Linked DNA regions of Oryctolagus cuniculus. The protein of the gene in region 1 purifies or fractionates together with the protein of each later gene. This does not show direct contact. Links are inferred from orthologs where the notes say so. Each region holds a gene or a part of one and is shown on either strand. Other genes may lie near its edges.

Region 1 (8,283 bases):
GGCGAAGACAATGGCATCACAAGATCCACTCTCCTGCAGCCTCAGCCCCAAAACAACCTCCTCCATGATCCATACACTCAGGAGTCTGCTAGTCTATCTCCATCTCAGTGACCCCATCCTTTCTACGATTACTCCAACTGTTGTCCTTAAGTTCACTGCCTTTTAAGATCTCTATCTCTTTTCCTTACCTCTAGTTGTTGTTGTTGTTCTTTTTTGTTGTTGTTGTTGGTTTTTGTTTTTTTTTTTTTTTTTTTTTTTTTTACAGGCAGAGTGGATAGTTTGAGAGAGAGACAGAGAGAAAGGTCTTCCTTTTTGCCGTTGGTTCACCCTCCAATGGCCACCGCCCCCGGCAGGCACATCGCACTGATCTGAAGCCAGGAGCCAGGTGCTTGTCCTGGTCTCCCATGGGGTGCAGGGCCCAAGCACTTGGGCCATCCTCCACTGCCCTCCTGGGCCACAGCAGAGAGCTGGACTGGAAGAGGAGCAACCGGGACAGAATCCGGCGCCCCGACCGGGACTAGAACCCGGGGTGCAGGCGCCGCAGGTGGAGGATTAGCCTAGTGAGCCATGGCGCCGGCCGCTTACCTCTAGTTCTTAAAACCAACTCATTCCAACTCAAACTAGTTCATTTATGCAGAACCTTAGCAAAAATTACTCTCCAGCAAAAAACGAATGGCATGCACTCTACCTTCTCTTCCCATTGCTCAGCATCTCCTAAATGGCTCTTTAGAACAACCCTCTGACCCCACCTGCAGGTTCTATGCAGCTTAGATGAAAGGCTGATTACAGACAAGGACCAACAAAGTCTCGGGGTACAGCTTGAAGAACTGAAATCTCTCTGATCGTAAACGTCCCATAAGTCTTTCACAACCTCTGCTTCCCCATTTTACAACACTTCAATCCTCCAAAGCACGTCACTTACATTATAAGAGATTAAAGGAACCAGCAATTTTGTTCAATCGTGAGGCATTACAAAAAGAAAATTCTGTTCTGTTACTGAGTCAACATAGAATTTGAGTTTGTATACAATCAACCACAAAGTACTGCAAATATGACAGGTAAAGCAAAAATAAAAATCAAATTATGCATCAAAGTCAACTTCAGGATCTTTACATGTACCATTCCAATCAGAACTGCCTCTACAAGGAGGGGATCATTTCTGTCACTTACATCTCTGGCTAAGCATCACCTCCTCAGGTGATGCTCAACCACTCACCCTCCCCGTAAATCCGAGGCAGTTCCTATTCCAGGATTCGGCTTCAGTTTCCTCACTGCACTTTTTTCAGGATGCAGTTATTTTGTTCATTTTCTGTCCCCACTCTTTTGAATGTTCACTCCATGAGAACAGAGACTTTCCCTAGCTTGTTCACTTCTGGATCCCAAGGCCTGGACCAAGGCCTGGCACACAGTATGAGCTAAAATATTTGTTGAGTCAATGAATTTCTATGTAATGCTTTCTTTTTTTTTTTTTTTTTTGACAGGCAGAGTGGACAGTGAGAGAGAGAGAGAGACAGAGAGAAAGGTCTTCCTTTGCCGTTGGTTCACCCTCCAATGGCCGCCGCGGCCGGTGCGCTGCGGCCAGCGCACCACGCTGATCCGATGGCAGGAGCCAGGTACTTATCCTGGTATCCCATGGGGTGCAGGGCCCAAGTCCTTGGGCCATCCTGCACTGCACTCCCTGGCCACAGCAGAGAGCTGGCCTGGAAGAGGGGCAACCGGGACAGAATCCGGCGCCCCGACCGGGACCAGAACCCGGTGTGCCGGCGCCGCAAGGCGGAGGATTAGCCTAGTGAGCCGCAGCGCCGGCCTCTATGTAATGCTTTAAGATCAACCAGGTCTTACAAAATTGTCATCCAATTTAATCTTCACATCACATCTATGAGCAAGGAACTTTTACAATTAAAGAAACAAAACGGAGAATATATGGGAAACCTCTGTATCTTCCACTCAATTGTGCTATGAACCTAAAAGTGCTCTAAAAATAGTCTATTAAAAACAATGGGGCAGGTACTGGGTGCAATGGTTAAGGCACCACTTGGGGGTGGACACTGTGGCCAAGCATCTTGGGATGTTCACATCCAGTATCAGAGCGCCTGGTACAAGCGCCTGGCTGCTCTGTGCTTCCAATCTAGCTTCCTGCGAATGTGCCTGGAAGGCAGTGAATGATGGACCGAGTACTTGGCTTCATATAATCCCTGTTGGAGTCTTGAATAGGGTTTTTGGCTCCCGGCTCAGGCCCAGCTCAGCCTGGGCTGTTAAATGCATTTAGGTAAATGAATTAATAGATGGAAAAGCTCCTTCCCCCCTCTCTCTAAAAAATAAATAAATGCTTAAAAAAAAAAGACATCACAGGGATATTTGCATCTCCTATGGGAGAGTCTGGGTTTGAGCGCTGGCTCGACTTCTGATCGCAGCTTCCTGATAATGCACACCCTGGGAGCAGCAAGGTGATGGCCCATGTAGCTGGATTTCTGCCACACACACGGAAGACCCAGACTGAGTTCCCAGCTCCCAGCAGTGTCCTAGTAAAGTCTCTGCTGGGTGTTTGGGGAATGAATCCACGAATGAGAGATTTCTCTCTCTACCTATCTTTCAAATAAATTAATAAATTAAAATTGGAAAGATAAAAACACTAAAGGAAAGAGAAAATGAAGCCTCAGAAACAGCAAGGAGCATATTCAGTCACACACAGCTGATAACTGGCAGAGCTGACATAGGCCCTGGGTGTTCTGAACCCCCCAGGCCTTCCCATTGCCGCCAACAAGCAGTTTTTTCACCTGGGAAAAGTCCAATCACCTTTAATTTATAACAAAACAGTAACTGCTGAAACAGAAGCGCTAATCCTACTCACTGGTGCTGAACTCGGCCCACGCCTGCAGCCGCAGGTGCAGTCCCTCTCCAGGGACATAGCGCAGCCCGCGGCAGGAGGAAGGCACAAGCCTGACCTCTGCTGGCAGCTCGATGTCTGTGCAGCCGTCAGACGTTCTCATCTGGAGTGAGGAAGGTGTTATGGAAATGTCCATGGGCAGCCCTTCTCGTGGCTCCCTAGTAATAAAAATAAAACCAAAACAAATTATTTCTCATTGGCCAAAACCACATGATGGAAGGAGGAGAAATTTCTGTTCCTCTTCTAGAGAAGCCCTAAAGTCACTGCCCCAGAAACCAGCAGCTAACATTATGAAGCAAGCTGATGTAGACTAGATATAGACAGTGCCAGAGTACCCTTCACTGTCACTCCCGTGAAAGCCCTGGGAGACATTTGTTATTCTTCAGATACAAGTATTAAAATCATATCTTATCTATAAATCACAGCAAAGTACTGTTATTTCATATATACGAGCTTGATAAAATAAGAATTAAGAGACACAAAAGGTAGAAAAAAAATCCTTGCCCCCCTCAGCTTTTCAAATAAATTAATCTTATAAAATAAAAATACAGTGATGTATGAACACCAGGTGTGAAAGGACTTACTAATTCATGATAAACACAAACTACTGTACTCAATACAGTCAGTAAAGAGTTAAACATGTTCCCTGTCCATCAGGTGTCAAAAGTATAGAAAGGAAAGAAGACATACAGAAGTGACTGCCAGCAACATGGAAGGAGGTTAGGAATAAATAGAAATGGCTCTATGACACCTAAATGTGCTTAGCAACTGAGGTATCATGTCTCACTCTTAAGTGCAAACAGCAGGCAGGCCATCCTCTCGGTGTCACATAAGTGCAGACAGAAGGCCATCTGCTTGAATGTCACCTAAGGGCAGAGGAGAGACTGTGTGCACATGTGAATCCTGCTTAGGCCTCTTAATTGCCTTAACTGCCTTAGAATCTTAAGTCTACTTTCTGCCTAGTTCCTTCACAGCATAAGGATCTGCACTTAATTAGCAAAACAGAAAGAATATCAAGAACCTGTGTTTTTTGCAGGGGAGACAGCCCCAAACCCCTGATGTAAAAGCTCAATTTCAACAAATGATGTTGGGGCTGGCGTTGTGGCACGATAGGTTAAGCTACCACCTGTGATGCCAGCATCCTGCGTGAGAGTCCATTTGAATCTCAGCTGCTCTACTTCCAATCCAGTTCCCTGCTAATGTGCCTGGGAAAGCAGTGGAGGATGACCCAAGTGCTTGGGCCTCTGCCACCCACATGGGAGATCTGGATGGAGTTTCAGGCTTCTGGCTTCAGCCTGCTCTAGACCCAGCCATTGTAGCCAAATGGGCAGCCATTTGGGTAGTGAACCAGCAGACGGATGATCGATCTTTCTCTCTCCTTCTCTCTCTATAATTATGCCTTTCAAATAAATAGATCTTTTTTAAAAGTAAAAAGAAATTATGGGAGCTAAATTTGTTAAAAAAAAAAAAAGGGAAGAAAATTAAAAAAAAGAAATGCCTGTATCAGTATTCTTTTTTTTTCCTTAAGATTATTTATTTGAAAGTCAGAGTTACACAGAGAGAAAGGAAAGAGAGAGGTCTTCCATCAAATGGTTCACTCCCCAAGTGGCTGCAATGGCCAGAGCAACACTGATACAAAGCTAGGAGCTTCTTCCAGGTCTCCCACACGGGCGCTGGGGCCCAAGGACTTGGGCCATCTTCAACTGTTTCCCAGGCCATAGCTGAGAGCTGGATTGGAAGTGGAGCAACCGGGTCTGGAACCGGAGCCATATGGGATGCCAGTGCTTCAGGCCAGGGCGTTAACCCACTGTGCCACAGCGCCGGCCCCCTGTATCAGTATTCTTGCAAATACAGTTTTGTAAAACTTTGTTTTATATCTTTGTAAAACCAATGGTTAAGAACGTATACTACTATAGTTTTAATGATCTGTGATTACTTTTAAGATTTGCTGTATATGGGTGAAATGGTCATTTTTCCACTCAATTACCGTTTATAGCCGTCCTCTTTATTCTCACTAAACTACAGTCTTTTTGCTTTTTACTTCTAAACTTCTTATTCAGTGAAGCATTAAGCCTTTTTACTGTAATGTAAATTTAAAATATGTTATCTCAAAAACTAAAAAAAGAAAGGAGGGTGGGAGAAAGGCAATGTCATTATGTTCTTAGAATTGTATCCACAAACTATATTCAATCTGCTGAAAACTAATTTAAAATTTTCTTAAATTAAAATCTTTAAAAAAAGAAATAATGTTTATGAAATAATGAACCTTTACAAGTAGGAGTCAACAAACTTTCTATAAAAGGCCAGATAGTAAATATTTTACACTCTGGGCTATAAACAAGGGACTTCAAAAGTCCACAGAAAATGGAATTTTAAACATTTACTGCATTGCAAAAAAAAATTTTAAATCCATGCATAGTTTTTCATTAAATGCATTTCCATCAGTTTTTGAAGATTCTCCCTTTACAACTTTATGGCCTCCGTTACATATTCTTTTGTTTTTTTTGTTTTTTTTGTTTTTTTTTTTTTTTTTGGACAGGCAGAGTGGATAGTGAGAGAGAGAGACAGAGAGAAAGGTCTTCCTTTGCTGTTGGTTTACCCCACAATGGCCACTGCAGCTGGTGCGCTGCATCCAGCACACCGCACTGATCCGAAGCCAGGAGCCAGGTGCCTCTCCTGGTCTCCCACGCAGGTGCAAGGCCCAGGGACCGGGCCATCCTCCACTGCACTCCCAGGCCATGGCAGAGAGCTGGACTGGAAGAGGAAACTGGGACAGAATCCGGCGCCCTGACCGGGACTAGAACCCGGGGTGCCGGTGCCACAGGCGGAGGATTAGCCTAGTGAGCCGCAGTGCCAGCCTTTTTTTTTTTTTTTTTTTTTTTTAAGATTTTATCTATTTTTTTGAGAGGTAGAGTTACAGAGAGAGAGGGAGAGACAGAGAAAAAGGTCTTCCTTCCACTGGTCCACTCTCCAAATGACCACAACGGCCAGAGTTGGGCCGATTTGAAGCCAAGAGCTTCTTCTATGTCACCCACATAGGTGCAGAGGCCCAAGCACTTGGGCCATCTTCCACTGCTTTCCCAGGCCATAGCAGAGCGCTGGATCACAAGAGGAGCAGCTGGGACTAGAACTGGAGCTCATATGGGATGCGAGCACCGCAGGCGGAGGCTTTTCCCACTATGCCACAGCACCCGCCACTCTGGTACAAATTCTGCCTGGTATTATCTTTTTGATTCCAGGAATCAGCCTCCCCCTCACTTCCCTCAAGGATACTAAGGTCTGCAGGGGCTCAAGTGCCTTATGTAAAATGGCATAAAATTATCTCTACCTAACGTAAGGTAAATGCTATGTAAATAGGTGTTTTTTGTGTTTTGTTTGTTTGTTTGTTTTTTTCTTTTTAGCGAATAATGACAAGAAGAAGTCTGCACGTGGTCAGTAAAGATGCAGTTTTTTCCTGAGTATTTTTGATTTGGGGTTGACTGAATCCACAGATTTAGAACAGAGGCCTTAAACAACAAACACAGTAGACAGAGGAGGCACAGGTGTCTCATTATTGGGGCTCCATCCTCATTACCAAATTACCTCCCAAAGGCCCCACCTCCCAACACCATCCCAGTGAGGGGTTAGGGCCTCAATATATAAATTTGAGGAAGACACAAATACTCAGTCTATGAACAGAGTCCAAGCGGGTATGGAGATGTCACTAATAAGTGGCAGGAGAGGGGGCAGTAAAGGATGCCAGCAGCAGATTAGTTAACCAGTGGGGCACTGACCAGGGAAGTCAATGCCATGAGCACAATAAGGCCAGGATTTTCCCTGAGGGAAAATGGATTCACAAAGAGAGAAAAACTAGGATGGAATCCCATGATGGTGGACTAGAATGGAATGTGTCTATTGGAAGTCAGTTTCCAAAGCGGCTGCATATAAACAGATACAATAATAGAAATGAATGTAAATGTATGTACTCCTATGTGTATATGCATATACATAAACATGCATACATCTCACACACACACACACGCACACACACTTCCTGGGGAAGGAACACCCCAACAGTAATGAGCACAGTGTCCAGATCTTGGCTAGTAAAGGCCATTTTCTACTAAAAACCAACCAAAACAACAATAACAAAAAAAAAAAAAACCCAGGGTTCCCTGAAAAAATGACTACATTCAACAAGAAAAGAATGAGAGGAGCATGGCACATCTTGTTATGCAACTAAGTAAGGAAAAAAAATCAAACAATGGCAGAGATATATCCAAAAAGATACAAATCATCTTGAAAGGTCTCCTGTGGCCAGATGCAGTGGAACTGGCACAAAAAAGTAGCTACTCAAATAAACCAGGACTATATGTTTTTACTGAAGTAAATAAATGAATGCATAAAATGAATCTATGATGAGGAAGAGGGTATTTACATAGCTGTCTTCCCAATCTATACTCCTTAATCACAAAGAAAGAGAAACTATCAGGTGGAGAAGATTGGTGCACACCCCCTTCCATAGGTGCTCAAAGTTAACATAACCAAGAACATAAAAAAATCACATGCCACCCAACAGGACGCAACGGGCAGAATACAGCATCATTACTGTGAAATTCCTGCCAAGGATGTATAACCCGAATCTTCGAATGTAAGACAAACCCAAAAGGAGCGACAGTCTCCAAAATCATCATGCCATAATCTTTACAAGTGTCAGGGTCGTGCAACTCTTCCAAACTGACACACTGATACGTGGCCGTGAAATGCGACACATGGCTGACAGGACTCTCCTGCTCTGAAGGACTCACGGGGACCACCAGCACAGCGTCCATGAAGTCTGAAGATGCACTAACAGATTTCCCAGCTTTGAGGGCCACACAATGGTCATTGAGGACAGGGTTCTACTTTGAGACTTTGCCACTGTCTCCTTTTGTATGTGAGGCTTCCTTCACCGCTCACTTGTATCCTGTCAGGTATTTCTTTAAACTGACTTCACATCTGACTCCGAATACAAGCAATATAATATAATATAAGTCCTTTCAGTGATCTGTAAGACCCAGTGATCACACACCTGCTGGAGAACCCACCGTTAACATTCCAGGCATTCTGAAAATCAGCTGACCTCACTTTGGTAAGCTGAGGTCAACCATAGTGTAAGTATGTACACCATAGGAATCAACAAATGCAAACTAGGACATTTTGTGTCCACTATATCCAGCAATATCCACTATTGCTTTGTGCTCCTGGAGAGCAGGTTGCTCAACATTTGCCAGTACTCACATCTAAGCCCTTCATGACGTGTCCTCTACCCCACACCCATCTCTGAACCCCCTTGCTACTGAGTCTGTTCTCTCAGAGGAAAGCAGTCTTCCACTATCTCATAGTTGCACGCTTCACCACTTTTGCTTTATTATGCA
Region 2 (8,752 bases), on another chromosome or scaffold:
TCTTCATTGACAAACAACCTTTCCTAAAAATAAAAAAAAGATAACCTTCCTTAAAAGTTGGATTCAATGCAGTGTGCCTAAAAACAATTCACAAAAACTCTCATAAAGTTATGGGTTATACTTTTTAAAATATTTTAAGGTATTTTCATGTGCTGTTTTGGAGAAAGAAAATTGAGCATTGTACAGAGCAGTAGGGGTTGTACCAAGTGTACCTAAAAAGAAAAACCCTTAGTACTTTTTCTAGGTCTATTACATCTCAGGTATGTTTTTTCTTCCAGAAAATACTACATACAAATGATATTTGTTTTTCCTTTTTTCTCTTTTCCTTTTTTTCTTAAGAGTAACATCACTTCTAAGGAAATAAATGGAATCCCAACTATAAATGTATTTCAGTTCTAGAGCACTTCTTGAGTCAGCTAAGAAATATATGTAACAGGATCTACTCAGATTTTGTGTGACCAGTTTACCTCTTAGTTCTTAGGTAAGGGCCAACTGTAATTTATTTAGAAAAAGTGCATTTTATTTCTAAGAACTGAGATAGTCCACAGTGACACTAATATATAAGAATCAGGTAGATGCTGACATGGAAAGATTTCAAAGCTGTTAGAAAATGCAAATATCACTCTTTCACCTGAATCCCAAACACAAAGCATTCTGTTTATATTCATGACAAATGAGTAAGTATATTAGGTGTTGGGAGGAGTAATCATATTAATCATATTTAAAATTACTTAAAATCAGTTCATTGTTGCTCCAAATAATCTTCCTATACACCTTTTATATACAACTTTTATAATTACAAAATAAACAGCTAATTATTTGGCCCAAATGGGAAAAAAAAAAACAAAGACAAGTTTCAAGTCTTCTGTTCAACAGTATTTGACCTTGTAAGCACCAAACAAAAGTGAACCTGGCTTTGGATCGGCGCAGCTCCGGCCACTGCGGCCATCCGGGGAGTGAGCCAGCAGATGGAAGACCTCTCTCTCTCTACCTCTCTCTGTAACTCTGTCTTTCAAATAAATAAAATAAATCTTTTTTTTTGTTTTTAAATGAACCTCTACAACAGAAAAACACCTCTATAGCTTTTCTACTGTCCATGTCTTGGGAAAATATACTCAGCCCTCAGCACTGTCTCACTGCCAGAAGCACACCAACTATTTTAACTTTTAGTAAATCCGAAATCTGTAATGGAAACGGTTATGATTAAAAGATCTGTATATACTTACCTTGTCATTCTAATAACTGATTTCAGTTTTACAGTAAAATAACACGTGGTCTCTGAGGCTCTGGGAGAATTCCCAGTGAATATTGAAGGGTTAAATAAACATTTAGTATTTTTTGTGCATAAAGCAAATTTGACCTTGATAGTTAAAAAAGTCTCTTTACATAGCGGTTCTTTTCATATAATGCACATGATGATATATTCATGATATATACCTCACTATAATGCTTTTTAAAAATTTGCTTTAATACTCACACCTGGTCCAGTACCATGGAAAGCAAAAGAATACATCATAATTCCATCAACCCTAGCAAATATTATAATTACATAATTATTAATTTCAGACTTCAAAGATAAAAAGTTGTCCTATTTTGCTCTAGTTTCTTGGCCTAAATGTTAGCATACTAGAAAATCTTATTGAAATAAATTATAAAACAGGAACTGCTGTCCATAAAGTTTTCTTCCCACACTGAGAGTTACTTTCACACTTATAAAAACAATGACAGGAAAACGACTGCTGTTTCCTAAATTTCCTCCTTCTGATAACATAAACGTACTCAGTCTCATAAAGTAGCTTACTTAGCCTATTTTACCATTTTTGGAGGGTTTCAAATTAATCACTTCTCAAAGAGACACCCAGCTCATAAAATACAGGTGTAACCGACTAGCAAATTTCTAGAAAAACAACAGGAAAAGTAAAAGTTTCAGTATAAAGCCATGGTCAAATAATTTTTATTATATAATGTGTGTAATTAGTGTTGTTTCTGGAACATGACTCTAGAATATGTTAAAAGAGGTTAACAATCTACATGTAACTTCCATACAAAGCTATCAACTGTTCATTTATGATTTTAAACTCTTTAGAACTTCAAATTTTAAGTAGGTTTTTTCAATATTTGCCAATACTTGTGCTGAATCTAAAATTCAAGAACCTCAGTAGCCTAAGAAGTATCAAACTACCAGAGAACATATGAAGTTATTCCTTCCCAGTTACTCTGCTGAGTAGGCCGGGCAACGCTCGGCCCAGTTCTAAAAGCCTTTGCCCAGGAAGAGGGCAGCTAGCGGAGGGGATGTCGAGCTCCACAACTACCCGACTTCGTTCAGTACCGGCCGTGTGTTCGCTGACCAGCAGGGACCAGAGAATGATTACAACCGACAGACGAAGAAGCACAACCCTACACTCGGGACGGAGATGCGATTTAGAGTCACAACTTCGTTTTCCCACATAAAAGCTGTGTGACACTGGCGGAGGTCCGTGACCTCTCTGGACGTCAGCTGCTGTTATTACTGCCTTTCTAAGTTGGGAAAAAGTGCTTTAAGCACTTCCAATGTGGTCATAAACGCCTGGGGAAATACGACTAGAGTCACAGCCCTTCTGCCCAGAAGCAGGCACCCTCCGCTGCTGGCCACCCCTGCCCTCCGCTTCGCAGGCGGGGGACCCAGGAGGGCAGTGCGCACACGTCGAGGACCGGAAATCCATGCGCCACTTCTTAAAAATGCTGACTGTGCACTAGCTTTCAACGTGCATACCAATTTCTAGTATTTACAGAAAAATTAAGGGTGGCTTTACTTTGTTTAGAATATATTGAGAGGGTGCCTAACAGGACACTTTAAAAGTGGCATGAAATATGTCAAACCTTAAGACTCTAAAAAGAACTGTTACCTCCAAAGATGCGTCGTTTAAGCCGTAAAACCACTGCTTCCAGTGTCCATAGCTCCCCGGAGATTTGGCCAGTTCTATCACGGCATTGTCTGAGGAAATACTAATCACGGGCTCTCTGGTGCTCAGCTTATTCTCGGGCGCAAACTGCAGAAGGAAGGCGTAAGCCGAGTCCTGCGCGGAGAAGCACACGTGGTACCCGAGGGGGCTCACGTCCCCTCGAAGGCTTTGCGGCTGGATGCGCGGCACGCCAATGAGCAGGGTCAGGGTTTCCTCATCCTGGTTACACTGCAAGGGGGGACACACAGGTCCCCTCCTCTCGGGGCAGGGACCACCGCCCATGGCCGGGTCCCCGGGCTCGCGGCCCGAGCCCGGCCGGCGCACGCCCCCTCCTCCGGCGGGAGGCTGCCCGTCGAGGCCCAGCGCTGAGGGACCAGAGGGGTCTCCGTCCCCGTCCCCAGGAGGCGGCGGCGACCCCGCGACCCCGTCAAAGTCCCGCTCCTCTCCAGCGCCAGCCGGCGGAGGTGCCACCTCGGGGCCACCTGCGGCGGGGACCCTATCGGCCGCGGTTCGGCCGGAATCCGGGGCTCCGTTCCCCACCGCGAGACCCCCGGCCAGTCCCGCCTCCTCCTCTTCCTCCTCCTCTTCCTCCGAGGCGCGGGTCGCGTCGTCAGTTCCGGCCCGGCCGGGGCTCTCTTCCGGCGCGGCGGTGGCGGCCGGCACCACGGGCAGCGTGACCACCAGCTGCCGTCGCGCCTTGTGGAACTGCGCGTGGCCGCGGCTGTCGTCCACCGGGTACGGGAGCGAGAGCCGCAGCCGGTAGTCAGGCTTCCGCGAGTCCAGGCACAGCAGCTTGCCCGTCACCTCCAGCGCCGCCTGCTCGGCCGAGCGCAACAGCGGCAGCTCGATGGTGACCACCAGCTCGCGGGGCACGGGGCTCGGGGCCGAGTCCCGGGAGCAGCGGTAGTCCTGGAGGTCCACGTGGTGGCGCTGCACCACGCTGTAGCGGGGCTCGGTGGGCGCGGGCGGCGGGGCCGGCTCCGGCGGGGACGGCGCCCGGGGCCGAGGGCCGGCGGAGCTTCCGGAAGCGGCCGGGTAGCTGTAGGGGTAGGGGAAGGCCAGGAGGGGGTCGTCTGGATCCCCCTCGGGCCGGGCCGGGGCGCCGCCGGGCAGGGGCGTGCGCAGGACGGCGGCCTCCGGGGTCCCCTTGTACTTGACCTTCAGGGTCTTGGCGTTCCTGCGGTCCAGCCTGACGCCGAACTGCTTCTGCACGGCCTCCAGGGCCGTGTCGTCCAGCATGTGGCGGAGGCGCTCGTGGCGCCGCGCCAGCGCCAGCGCGTCGGGGTGAAAGACCACGTCGTAGACGGTGTAGCGGCTGCCGCTGCGCCCCGCGTACTCGCGGGCCGGCGCCAGGCTGTAGGGCAGGATCCAGTGGCTGCCGGGCGCCCCCCGGTCGGAACCGGGCCGGCAGCTGGGCGCGCCCACCAGCGCGTTGCAGCACACGTTCACGAAGCAGCGCCGCGTCCCGTCCAGGCTGGTGCGCAGCACGTGGCCCGGCTCCGGGTGCACGAACCGCACGTCCACGCCGCGCTCCCGCTCGAGCGCGGTGATCTCCGCCTCGTAGAGCCGCCGGTTCTCCGGGTCGTTGAGCTGCTCGGCGTACTCGGAGAACATTCGCCGGAACTCGGGGTCCTGGAAGGCGGAGGTGAGCCTCTGGACCTCCTCTCCGCTCAGGTCCAAGTCCTCCAGCCGCGAGGAGGCTGCCCCTTTGGCCATGCTGCTGCCCCGCGGCTCCTCACCCTCCGGGCCAAGCCAGATGAGGGCCCGGCCGGGCAGACGCGCCGCCGAGTGCAGTGCGCGGAGCCCTGGGCAGCAGCGGCGGGTAACGGCTGGAGGCCGCGCGTGCCTGTTGCCATGGCGACAGCTCCGCCGCCCGGGGGAGGGGCAGGAATGAGCTAGGCGCCGAGGAAAGGCCAGCCGGAGCCGCTGCTGCCTTCACACCTGCCGGCCACCCTCCTGGCTGTGTTTTCTGGAGTCCTGTCCCACAGTGCATTTTCTTCTGCAGGCCGTGATTTCCAGCACTATGTGTGTTGTCCCACTCATAACGCTGTAAGATGAACTTCCCATAGAATTATAAATAATTCCCTAAATATTACTTACTCCGTAGGTGATATGTAGTTTCCTATCAAAATAGCAGGTTTTTTAAAAATTGTGTTTCCTCAGAGTGGGAGTAGACTTTAAATGCCTGCACTTTTGTGTTGACTCAGATAATCTCAGAGTATTTGACTTAGTCCTGGCAGAGTGTGTTCAAGGCAATACCATTTAGTTTGTTTGTTTGTTTGTTTGTTTTTAAGATTGATTTATTTGAAAGAGTTACACAGAAAGAGGAGAGGCAAAGAGAGTCTTCCATCCCATGGTTCACTCTCCAATTGGCCGCAACGGCCAGAGCTGCACTGATCTGAAGCCAGGAGCCTCCTCCGGGTCTCCCACATGGGTGCAGGGGCCCAAGGACTTGGACCATCTTGTACTGCTTTCCCAGGCCATAACAGAGAGTTGGATCGTAAGTAGAGCAGCTGGGTCTGGAACCAGTGCCCATATGGGATGCCAGCACTGCAGGCCAGGGCGTTAACCCACTGCGCCGGCCTCAATAGCATTTACCCTAAAGGTTTAGGAAGAATCTACAGTGGAAACAATGGAGCTAATTTTACTGCTGCCATACGATGGAATTTTATGCATTTGAAGGGATCTCATAGAAGTATATTTATTGACTGGGGTAGTTATTTAAGAATTAGTATTAGTCCGGCGCCGCAGCTCAATAGGCTAATCTTCCACCTTGCGGCGCGGGCACACCGGATTCTAGTCCCGGTTGCCCCTCTTCCAGGCCAGCTCTCTGCTGTGGCCAGGGGGTGCAGTGGAGGATGGCCAAGTGCTTGGGCCCTGCACCCCATGGGAGACCAGGAGAAGCACCTGGCTCCTGCCATCGGATCAGCGTGGTGCACCGGCCACAGCGCGCCAGCCGCGGCCGGCCATTGGAGGGTGAACCAACGGCAAAGGAAGACCTTTCTCTCTGTCTCTCTCTCTCTCTCACTGTCCACTCTGCCTGTCAAAAAAATAAAAAGAATTAGTAGTGAATCTAGTGATCGTCTGCTTTCAGCAGTACTTAGCACAGCCGGTGCTGCCGCTCCCCAGTGAGGCGGTCTCCCCAGGTTCCTCCCCTGCCTTCTCAGCGCTCGCTCTTACTCTGCCCTGCCGTCTGCCTCTGTTCAGTCTCCGGGGCTCCATCCACATTCTCCCTTCACATTGCTTACACTCACGAATACCAAACTTGTGCTTCAGGTCCTTCTTTCTAGACTTGTTTTTTATTTATTTGAAAGAATTACAGAGAGAGAGGTAGAGACAGAGATATTCCATCTGCGGGTTCACTCCCCAAATGGCTCCAATGGATAGGGCTGGGCCAGGCCAAAACTAGGAGCCAGAGGCTTCTTCTGGGTCTCCCACCTGGGTGCAGGAGCCCAAGTGCTTGGGCCGTCTTTCCCAGGCACATCAGGGAGCTGGATCAGAAGTGGAGTGGAGCCCACCAGGATTCCACCAGATGCCAATATGGGATGCCAGCACTGCAGGCGGTGGCTTAACCTGCTATACCACAACGGCGACCCCATACTTCGGGTTCTGGGTTTCAGACTCCTGTACCCAGCTGCCCATTTGACATCTCATTGAATAATTACTCATTGTCTCTCAAGCTCGAAACAACCAAAACCAGAACTCCTGACTTCTCTCCTTTTCCAAATCCCTGTCTTGCATATGATCTCTTGGCAGCATTCAAAGCAGGAGACCGTCCTGGGCTTCACGCCTATTTTTCTCTTGGCTTACAGAATGCCAAGCTCCCCTGTTCCGGCTTTGTAGCAGTTCTGCCAGTTCTCTAAGTGTGCGGATCACTCAAGGCTCTGTCCAGCACCCTCTCATCTAATCACTTCCTTTTACGATGTTATCTGAGCCCACACCTTTAAATGCCATCCATGTCAAGTCCTTTTGTTAGATAATTATTCCACATTTCTGCACTTACTATCTAGGTTATCACTAAGTCAGTGTTCCCCACGCTGCAGCAGAACATAAAATCATTGTCCCTTGAGGATATGAAGCAGCTGGCCCACTTGGGAAGAGCTGTTACTGCTGGAAGTCTAAAGATATGCATAACGCTATCTTTTTATAGGAAGATTATTTATCTAAGATTTATTCATTTGGAAGGCAGAGTTAAAGAGGCAGAGAGAGATCTGACCCAGCCTCTGCTATTGGAGCAATTTGGGGAGTGAAACAGCAGATGAAAGATCTGGGTTTTTTAATTTATTATTTATTTATTTATTTATTTTTATTTGAAAGATCTGTTTTTATCTCTCCCTCTCTGTAATTCAGCCTTTGGAATAAATAAGTCAACTTTTTTTTTTTTTTTTTTTTTTTTTTTTTTTTTTTTTTTGACAGGCAGAGTGGACAGTAAGAGAGAGAGAGACAGGGAGAAAGGTCTTCCTTTTTTCATTGGTTCACCCCCCCCCAAGTGGCTGCTATAGCCGGTGCGCTGCGCCGCTCCAAAGCCAGGAGCCAGGTGCTTCCTCCTGGTCTGCCCTGCGGGTGCAGGGCCCAAGGACCTGGAGTATCCTCCACTGTACTCCAGGGCCACACCAGAGAGCTGGACTGGAAGAGGAGCAACCAGGACAGAATCCAGTGGAACTAGAACCCGGGGTGCTGGCGCCACAGGCGGAGGATTAGCCTAGTGAGCCGCGGTGCCGGCCAAGTCAATCTTTTTTAAAAAGAAAAGAAAATGGTGAAACAATGCATATGTTATGACACCACTGTATAATAGGCAAAACTTGGCTAAATAACTCTGCTTAAAACCAGGCTGTACTGGGGCCGGGGCTGTGCATAGTGGGTAAAGCTGCCGCCTACAGTGCCGGCATCCCATATGGGCACCGGTTCAAGTCTCTGCTGTTCCACTTCCAATCCAGCTCTCTGCTATGGCCTGGGAAAGCAGTAGAAGATTGCCCAAATCCTTGGGCCCCTGCTCCTGTGTGGGAGACCCGGAAGAAGCTTCTGACTCCTGGCTTTGGATTGGGCAGCTGGGGCTGTTGCGGCCAATTGGGAAGTGAACCATCTGATGGAAGACCACTCTCTCTCTCTGCCTCTCCTCTCTCTGCGTAACTCTGACTTTCAAATAAATAAATAAATCCTTTAAAAAAAAAGAAATCGTAAAAAAAAAAAAAAAAAAAAAAAACAGGCTATACAACTGGTTTGTCAAGTTTTAAAGTAATACCTACTAATAATTTTCTTAAACAGAAAAAGAGAATGACAGTCTTGTGATGGCCCTTTGCGGGGACCATGGGTATTGTGATTGGGAGGAAATGAGGGAACTGGGGTGGGGATCTCTTTTTCCTCAAAGATGTTTTTTAGTGTGTCCCGTTTGCTGGTTCACTCTCCAAATGTCTCTTTCCAAGGCTGGAGTCAGGAGCTGGGCACTCAATCCAGATTTTCCATGTGGGTGCCATTCCCGCTGCTTCTAAGAGTCTGTATTAATAGGAAGCTGGTGTCAGGAACAGCAGCCAAGAATCCGACCTTGGCACCGTCTGTGTCCTTCCCCAAACAGAAGCCCAGGACGCCTTTCACCGCCTTCCTCTGCTGCCCCACCTTTCAGACTGCAGCTTCCTTTTCATTTCTAGACAGCACTGGTTCTGGCTCCTGCCACTTTTACTCAGGTGCTTAGCGCTTGCGTCTGGCAGCTGGCCTGCTTTAGGTAACCTGCTTTGCTTATCTCGCTTCCCCTTGTCAAATGCTTACGTGTACCCTGTCTTCGTAGCCACTACCGGTTCCTAAAAAGACCTCAG

Evidence for each region.
Region 2: the proteins of UBE3D (region 1) and DNAAF2 purify together in Homo sapiens (affinity purification with mass spectrometry; 4 studies listed by BioGRID and IntAct, counting the BioPlex papers as one, with this or other methods). This does not show direct contact. The link is inferred for Oryctolagus cuniculus from reciprocal best matches to the Homo sapiens genes UBE3D and DNAAF2.

What each region holds. Positions count from the first base shown.
Region 1 is NC_091436.1:89,354,667-89,362,949, reverse strand, and holds part of UBE3D (E3 ubiquitin-protein ligase E3D), read right to left. Parts: intron 3,046-8,283; coding exon 2,852-3,045; intron 1-2,851. UniProt on the Homo sapiens protein: E3 ubiquitin-protein ligase which accepts ubiquitin from specific E2 ubiquitin-conjugating enzymes, and transfers it to substrates, generally promoting their degradation by the proteasome.
Region 2 is NC_091443.1:26,415,451-26,424,202, reverse strand, and holds the start of DNAAF2 (protein kintoun), read right to left. Parts: upstream 4,789-8,752; 5' UTR 4,659-4,788; coding exon 2,886-4,658; intron 24-2,885; coding exon 1-23. UniProt on the Homo sapiens protein: Required for cytoplasmic pre-assembly of axonemal dyneins, thereby playing a central role in motility in cilia and flagella.